Linked DNA regions of Rhinolophus ferrumequinum. Each later gene encodes a partner of the first gene's protein in a complex. Links are inferred from orthologs where the notes say so. Each region holds a gene or a part of one and is shown on either strand. Other genes may lie near its edges. The genes, in order: PPARGC1B and PPARA.

What was found.
Region 2: the proteins of PPARGC1B (region 1) and PPARA are in contact, whole or in part, in a crystal structure (PDB 3SP6), measured with the Homo sapiens proteins. The link is inferred for Rhinolophus ferrumequinum from reciprocal best matches to the Homo sapiens genes PPARGC1B and PPARA. Residues at the interface, in NP_573570.3 of Homo sapiens: Ser154, Leu155, Leu156, Gln157, Leu159, Leu160, Leu161, Thr163; in NP_001001928.1 of Homo sapiens: Val284, Thr285, Thr288, Glu289, Lys292, Phe297, Leu302, Asn303, Gln305, Val306, Leu309, Pro458, Leu459, Glu462, Ile463.

Annotation. Positions count from the first base shown.
Region 1 is NC_046307.1:22,082,017-22,085,917, forward strand, and holds the start of PPARGC1B (peroxisome proliferator-activated receptor gamma coactivator 1-beta), read left to right. Parts: upstream 1-1,239; 5' UTR 1,240-1,842; coding exon 1,843-1,920; intron 1,921-3,901. UniProt on the Homo sapiens protein: Plays a role of stimulator of transcription factors and nuclear receptors activities. Activates transcriptional activity of estrogen receptor alpha, nuclear respiratory factor 1 (NRF1) and glucocorticoid receptor in the presence of glucocorticoids.
Region 2 is NC_046293.1:3,112,642-3,116,542, reverse strand, and holds the start of PPARA (peroxisome proliferator-activated receptor alpha), read left to right. Parts: upstream 1-1,111; 5' UTR 1,112-1,239; intron 1,240-1,383; exon of another isoform or gene 1,384-1,736; intron 1,737-2,284; 5' UTR 2,285-2,437; intron 2,438-2,615; exon of another isoform or gene 2,616-2,966; intron 2,967-3,901. UniProt on the Homo sapiens protein: Ligand-activated transcription factor. Key regulator of lipid metabolism. Activated by the endogenous ligand 1-palmitoyl-2-oleoyl-sn-glycerol-3-phosphocholine (16:0/18:1-GPC). Activated by oleylethanolamide, a naturally occurring lipid that regulates satiety.

The DNA.
Region 1 (3,901 bases):
AGCACTTCACATATGTTATTTCCTCAGTCACCATAATAGCCCCATGCAGTATATAATTCTATGATACGCATTTGTGTAGGTGAGGAAACTGAGTCTTGAGACTAAATGACTTTCGGGGGTTCAAAACCAGGCAGTCTGACTAGAAGGCCCATGCTCTTAACTGCTTGAGTTGCCCAAGACTAGAGGACGATGTGGCAGGGCTGGATCAGCACCCCGGACTCCTGACTCCCAGGCTAATGCTCCTAGGCCAGACGTAGACTCTCTGTTGGAAATCATTGTTCCTTAAAAGTGTGCTGGCCTAAAGCCCAAAGAGTGAAATCACACCCTGTGGTTCTGGGAAGTTCAGATTGGAGAAGAAGGAAGCTCTTGCTCTCGTGTTCAAGTCTGAGCAGGTGTACTGGGACTCTCCCTATTTCCTCCTCTGGCTGGGAGGGTGCCCACGCTGGGGCAGGGTGGGGCAGCCCTTATGAGAGCAGGTAAGGGGAGAGCAGGAGGCAGGCCTGCCCAATAAAACAGGTCTAATTCTTCCCGCCTTCATGCCTTTATCCAGGCCATGCCCTCATCTCCTGCCTGGCAAATTGCAGGCCCTGAAGATGAGAGTTCAAGGCTAGAGTCAAGATGCCTGAGTTTGGGTTCTGACTCAGACACTCCATATGCACCCTGACTCTGGGCAGTTTCCTTATCTATACAATGTTTGGTGAGGGGATCACGATTCTCTGGGTTTTTAGTTCATAAATTATTTATTAAGTACCTACTATGTGCTGGGCACTGGAGACATGACAAGTGCAAAAGCAGATTCAGGCCTTAGTTTCATGGGTCTTGGAGTCTAGTAAGGAGAGACATATGGATCAAATCTTCACTGAAACAAATGTAGAAAGGCACCTGGGGCTAGTGTTTTAGAGGCAAAGCCTGCTGGGCAGAGGGAACCCATGATGGGGGATTGAGAATGGGCTGACAGTCTGAGGGACAGTGGGGGAGGAGGCCCTGAAGATGTGGTTACTAGGTGAATGGAGGCAACACTCAGTGTGTAGAGGCCCATTGAGAGATGTTTAACGGGAAGCCCTTAGGAGCCTCGCTACTTCAAGGCATTGTGGCCCATGGCAAGAGAAGTCATTGTAGTTTTTTGTTTTTGTTTTTATTTTTTAAAGGGTGTAGGGCACTGAGGGAGCCTTGAGAGAGAGAGAGATGGCCAAACTTAACAGAATATGGGTCAACAACACCTCTTTCAAGGAAAAGATAAAAAAATGCCACCCCTTCCAAGAAGCCTTCCCTGATTTCTCCACCTTTGACCTATGGTATCCCTTCTTCTCTGGCCTTGCAGCCCCGGTAGAGAAACTCAAGCCTCCGGGGCAGTCAGATCTTAGCTTTGCCTTTTTGCTATTGAAGTGCACTGTGGCTTCAAACAAGGTCCTCTGCTTTCCCGGGCCTCAGTTTCCCCAGCAGTGCAGAAGCAGGTTGTCTCGAAGGACCCGCCCAACGCTAAGGCAACGTGATTCGCTCTGGCAAAAGCGGGGGGCTACCCGCATTGCTGCGCAGGCATCGGGCTGCAGGCTGGGCACCGTCACCGGGCTGCGGGCGCTTTCCTCCCGGCTAGGGGCTGCCAGCGAGGATCACCGCTCCAGACGTGGCGCAGGAAAGTGGGGGCGCGACTCCCGGCTCGCTCAGGCACCGCGCGGCCCCGCCCCCGCAGCCAGCGGCCCTGCGGCAGCCGGGGCCTGAGCTCCGCCCTCCGCCTCCCGCGGGCCTCGCTCCCTCCTCCCGCCTTCCTCGCTAGCTCGCTGGTTCCCTCCCCCCGGCCCGCTCGGCGCTGACTCCGCGGCACGCTGCAGCCGCGGCTGGAAGATGGCGGGGAACGACTGCGGCGCGCTGCTGGACGAAGAGCTCTCCTCCTTCTTCCTCAACTATCTCGCCGACACGCAGGTACAGCCAGCTGGGGCCGCGGGCCGGGTGCTAGGGGTGCTGAGCTGCGGGGGCTGCCGCCGCAGCCGCGGAGACCGGGAGGCAGCAGTGGGCGCATTGAGGGGTCGGGGGTTCCAGGCTGCAGAGTCCCCCTTCCCTGCACCTTGCGATGTGCTCCGTTAAGGGGGCAGGGAGCTGGAGGTTCCCCTGCGCAAGCTGGAGCGTTGGGGGTGCTACGGTCGCTGGGTAGGGTCTAGCCTCGGTCGCTTGGAATCCGTACCCCCCGCTGGCAGAGCTGGGATGGGGGGGTACCGCGCTTCCTTGGAGAGGCGAAGTCGCGCCAAGGTGTGGGGTACCCTCAGGCTAGCTCTGGGTGCTGGAGGCGCGCCCTCAGGTTTCCGGCACTTGCTGCCGTACTTTCACGTGGACTTGTGGCCCCGGCACAGGCGCCGGCCCCCGTCCTCAGAGTCCCCTCGTCCTCCAGTCTCCAGTCCCCCCTTGGCTCCGCATCGGCTCCATGGCTCAATCGGCGCCTGCAGCGCGGAGTTTGCTGCCAGTTGTCTGCTAAGGGCATAGGGGTCTGAGGGGCACGTGGACATGGCAAGCGGGGATAGCACCTTCCTGGTTTCGCTACCTGGTTGAACCCCCCGGCGGAAAAGCAAGGCAGGATGGGGGACGAAGGACTGTCTGGGGGCGCCTGGGTCCCCCTGCGGCGCGCGGCCCGGGTGCGCGCTTGGCGGTGTTGGGGGGAAGGGAAGGCCAGGCGGCGTCCCGGGCTCTGGTTGCGCCTGGGAGCTCGGCCGGCGACACGCGCGTGACAGGAGAAGGTGCTGTGGTGTGCTGGTGTGTGTGTGGGGGGTACTGAGGGAGCTGGTGACTTGGTGACCGAGGCGAGTGTGTGTGTGTGTGTGTGTGTGTGTGTGTGCTGTTGGGACAAGTAGCTACGGAAAATGCCTGCACTAGGTGTGCGCGCCCCCTACCCCTTCCTTGGGTTTCCCCAGCCCCATGCCTGTTGCAAGCGTAAAGTTTGGCCCCCTAGTTAAGGCTTTTTCTCTGGGCGCCAGGTTGCGGGAAGCCTGGAGGATGAGGATGCGGCGCCGCCGAGTGTGAGATCCCGGATGCGGGCGCACGCCTGGGCTCCGAGAGGGGCCGCCGGGTGGAACCGGGCGCGGCTCGCGAGGGCTGGTTTGGTACCTGGAGTCTGAGTGCCAGTGCCGGCTCGTTTTGCATAACACTGGAAGGGAGGGGGAAGACGGAGGGGGCGGGGGTGGGAGGGCTGAGAGGGAAACTTTGCTTCTTGTTATAATCTGCCTGTCTTTGGGCGGCAGCAGCTGTCATGGGACCGGGTGGGCGGGGAGAGGCTTGCGAGCTGACTCCTAGCCGGGAGAAGCGACTTGGAGGGGACGCGGCAGCCTAGAGGTTCAGCTCCGGGCGGACTCCCGGCTGGCGGCTGGGATGGCGCGGCGTGGCGGGATGTCGCGGAGAGCAAGCCTGCCACACGCGGGAGAAGGCCGTCCGTCGTTCGCTGCAGACGTCCATGCGTCAGGGAGCGGCGGGGCCTCGTGGTCCGTGGCGGGCGCTCTCGGGTGGGTTCTAGGCAGGGGCTGAAGGGGCCGATGGAGTGTGATCGCTCTTCTCAAGGCCGGGGGTGGGGGTAAGTGTGTGCTGAGTGGGCTGCGCGCGCGGGTGTGTATGTTTGTGTGCACACGCTGCGCGCGCCGGGCGCGTACCTTTACCTCTGACGAAACTGCAGTGGAGCTCCGTTGGCGGTCACCGGGCGCCGCCACACGTCCCGACCCCAGTTCTGCGCGGAAGGCCGATCCCAGTCCCAGCACCAGCACCACTACGGTTCCCCACAGCCCCCCACTCCCCTAACTCCCCGCCGACAGCCGGGGACGAGGGGGACTGGGTGCGGGAGGGGCAGAGGTGCCCCTGGGGAAGTTCTGTCCTCAGTCCTGGCGCTTGTCTGCGAATGTCCCCAAACCTTCGACTAAGACGCGGG
Region 2 (3,901 bases), on another chromosome or scaffold:
TGCTGGAGCAGGGGCGGGGGCAGGGAGGAGGGCTGGCATAGCACACATTTTGTTCCCAAAGAAGGGGTGTCCTGACGCGCTGGCACCGGGGGCTTTGTGCATTCCCCGCAGGGAGCTCGGGCGTCGTCGCGCAAACAAAGCCGCTTTGCAGCTCTCCCCTCTTCTCACCAGAGGCGGCCCGGCCGCGACCTCCCCCTACGCTGGCAGAGGCCCAGGCCCTCGGCCCAGCACAGTCAGCCCCTCACCCCGACGCACCGCGGGAGCCTGCGCGGCTCTCCGGCATCCTCGGCTGGGGTGGGGGCTGGTGGTGGGAGTTGACAGTGCGTCCCAGCGCGTGTCCGGGTTGCCCTTCACCCATCTCGGTCCCCCGCCCGCCGCCCTCGCCCGGGCACTATCACAACCTGTTTACGCGTCCTCCCAGCTCGCGTTCCCTTTCTCGGACTTTTGCATCCTGAGATGCTAGGGACCGCACCGCACCCGGGGCCGCCCCGCACCCCGCGCACCCCAGGAACGCCAGGGCACAGCGCCTCTGCGAGGTCTAGATCAGTGTATCGTATAGACCCGCAGAGCCCAGCTCTCCGAGGGGGGGCATAGCCAGCGTAGCCTGGGCGCCGAGCGGGAACCTCCACCCGTCTCTCAGCCCTGCGCCCAACCCCGCCTGGACTTCAGCCCCTCAGAGTGCGCGGGGCTGGAAGCGCGCCGATGCCCAGCCGCATACGGTGTCCCGTCGCGACGCCGTACCCGCCCATCCGGTGACCTTGGCAGTCCCTCCGCCTCCCCCGCCTCAGTTTCCCCAACAGTGCAGCCGCCGCCAGCCACAAGGAGGGAGGAGCCGAGAGCGGCCCCGCCCCAGGCCCATGGGCAGCCAATGGGGTGCCGCCACCCGGGGGTGTGTCCGCCCGGGGCCGCGGCTGGGGGCTCGGGGGCGGGTCCAGAGGTTTGGGGCGGGGGCGGAGTCGGGGTTGAAGTGGGGGCCCCGGGGCGGGGCTTCCGGGCGGGCCACCCGCGCCAGCCGCCGGCGCTGCCCGGCCGGGCGGGGAGATCGAGGGGCGGCGCGTGCCGCGGGGGTGCGGCTGGCACGGGCGAGGCAGGCGGCGCCGGGCATGGGCAGGGGACGCGGCGGCCCCACGGCGGGGGCAGCGGGCGGCGGGGGCGGAGGCGGCCGCTAGCGCCCGGCCCGGTGCCGCCTCCCTCGGCGCGTTCGCCCGACGGACCGGCAGGCGGCGGACCCGGCCCCAGGTGCCCGGGTGCGGGTGGGCGCGCGCGAGGTTCCACGGGCCGGGCCTCGGCACCCCGGGACCCAGAGCGGCCGCGGACGGGGGAGGGGCCGGGGCCGGCGGCGCATGCGCGGGACGGGGGCGCGGGCCGCGGGCGCTCGCTGTGGCTGGTGCGGAGGAACCTCGGGCCCAGGGGCCGCCCCCTGCTCCGCCTCCCTCCTGGCACGGGGGCCTGCCCGGAGCCCCGGCCTCCGCGGCTGTCGCTGGGGGCTGTGTGGAGGTCGAGGCCGGGACCTCAGAGACACGGGTCCTCTGGTTGTTTCGCGGGAAGGAAGGCCCACCAGGCGGGACGTGGGGCGCCCTCCCCACAGCGCGGTCGAGTTTGGGCGTCACCGACCGGGGAGCGTTTCCCGAGATTCCCGGGGTTCCCCGAGGCTAGGTATCCCGAGGCCCCAGCAGACTGACCCTCAGGGCCGCGCGCCCGGCGGCTGCGGTCCGGCGGGGGAAGCTCACTGGCGGGTTAGTTCACAGCCCTGGGACACCTTTGAGGAACTGCCTCACTTTGCGCCCGAACGCAGGCTGGAGACCCAAATGGGCCGGGCGAGGCGAGCAAAGGGCCGGCTCCGCCGCGCGACGCCCACCCGAGTCCTGGGCCCCGCGCGTCCGGCGCGGGGTGTCGGCGCCCAGGTCTCCCCGGGGCCCCGGCCGCGCGGCCCCAGGGGTGCGAGGTGGTGCCGGCGAAAGTCCGGAGGGTCGGTTCTGCCCCACGCCCACCCAAGACTAACAGGGGACAACTACACGCCCGTGTGAACCTCGCCTTTTTGAGTTTAAAGGAGTGACGGCGTGCCCCAAATGTCAAGGTTCTTTCTGAGAAAAGCCCATCGTTGTGTAATGGCTTGGGTTTCGCGGGGCGCTCTGGGACCTTCGGGGCTGCGCGCCCACCCCAACCCCAGCCACTGCTCCCCAAACCAGAGGGTACTAGGAGGGGCACAGGGTTTTCCTGGTAGCGACCCTGCCACACCATTTCCTTTGAAGAAGTGGGGTCACGGTGACTTTCCTCTTCCAAGGTGGTGGAGAGCTGGGGAGAATCCAGAGGACACATCGTAATCATTTCCTCCTTTACCTTCTCACTGCCAAGGCCGCAGTTAAAGGCCCTGCCTCCTCCGTGAAGTAACAGTTTGTGGCAAGACAAGCTCAGAACCAAGACGCTGTCATTACAGGTAAATAGAAGGTTTGATTTACTCGGGTTTCCAGACCGAAATGGTTAAGTGTTTACTTCCGTTGCCCTACAGACTAGCCATTTGAGGGTTAATTATTACTTTGTGATGCAACGTTGGATATATTTTTGGTGCTTTGAAAGTAAGATAAATGTGGGTAGATTCCCTTTTAAGTTCTGAAAACTTGCTCCTGTCAGTTTCTCTAGGAACTTCGTTTCTTTATGGCAGGCTGGTTCCATGTACTTGAAAACTAGGTAATATAACAGAAATGTTAGTACTTAACAGACACCGAAGTCACAGACACGGCCGAGAGCAGCATGCCAGCTGTAGCTGCTTTTATTCGAATTTGAATATAAAGCAGATGGCTTGCTGAGATAGTAGTAGCTCAGGTCTAGACCTGCCATCAGCTAGGACAGGGATGCCTGGAGAAGTGGCGGATGGTACAGATTTCGTGGTCACTGCGCATGAGGGGCCAGACAGGGAGCCTGACAACATTCTATACAACTTTGAAGCAAAAGCAAATTAATTGATGGTAGGAAAAATGACTTTCTCTCTTTGTTTATATCTTAGACATATAAGAATCATTCCGTAATCATAAAATAGTTCTTTTTACTAGCTCATGTTTGTCAAACTTGTAAACTGCTTTTTAAACATGGTATGTGTGTGTGTGAGAATGACAGAAGAGAGAAAAAAACGTGTTTTTTCTATATAAGCTGTTTTGTAATCTGCTTTATTAACTATTAGGTTATGACAAATCTTTTCCTGTGTGTAAATTTGTGTTTGATTATTTTCAGTGTCTATATAATATTCTATTGTGTGTAGATACCATAAGTATGTAGCCAATCCATATATAAATGTATATGGATATAGAAATATATACCGTATTTTGCTGTGTCTAATGCACACTCACGTTTTTGGCCCAAACTTTTAGGGAAAAAAAATCGTTGTAATTTTTCAATTCAAATTTTTATTTGTTTACTTTTAGGTACTTGTTTTTTGTATTATAAAGGAATTTTAGCATTTATTTTTTAACATACTGTGGAACAAGAAATTTTGTGTAACAAATAATTACAAAACACAAGAACAGATATAACGTACAAGAAAGTTTATGTACAGGTAACAAATTTACGACATTTATGCATCACAGAAGGCCAAGAACTCTTCGTTGTTGCAAGTTCGTTATAAGTTCAACAAAATTGTATTGCAGGGTATTATGTTGCATATGGATAACGTTATTAATTTCTAGAGTTACACTTTTAGCTTATAAGCATAAATGAAAGAATTAAAAACATATAGATAGGAAATTAGTACTACCCATGTATAATACACAGCCTTGTTTTTCCCTTACAAATTTGGGCAAAAAAATATGCATTATACGTGGCAAAATGCGGTATATATTTAATTCATTCACTCTGTAAATATTTACGGAGTAGCTGCTTTGGGCTGTTGTGTTCAGTATTGACTGAA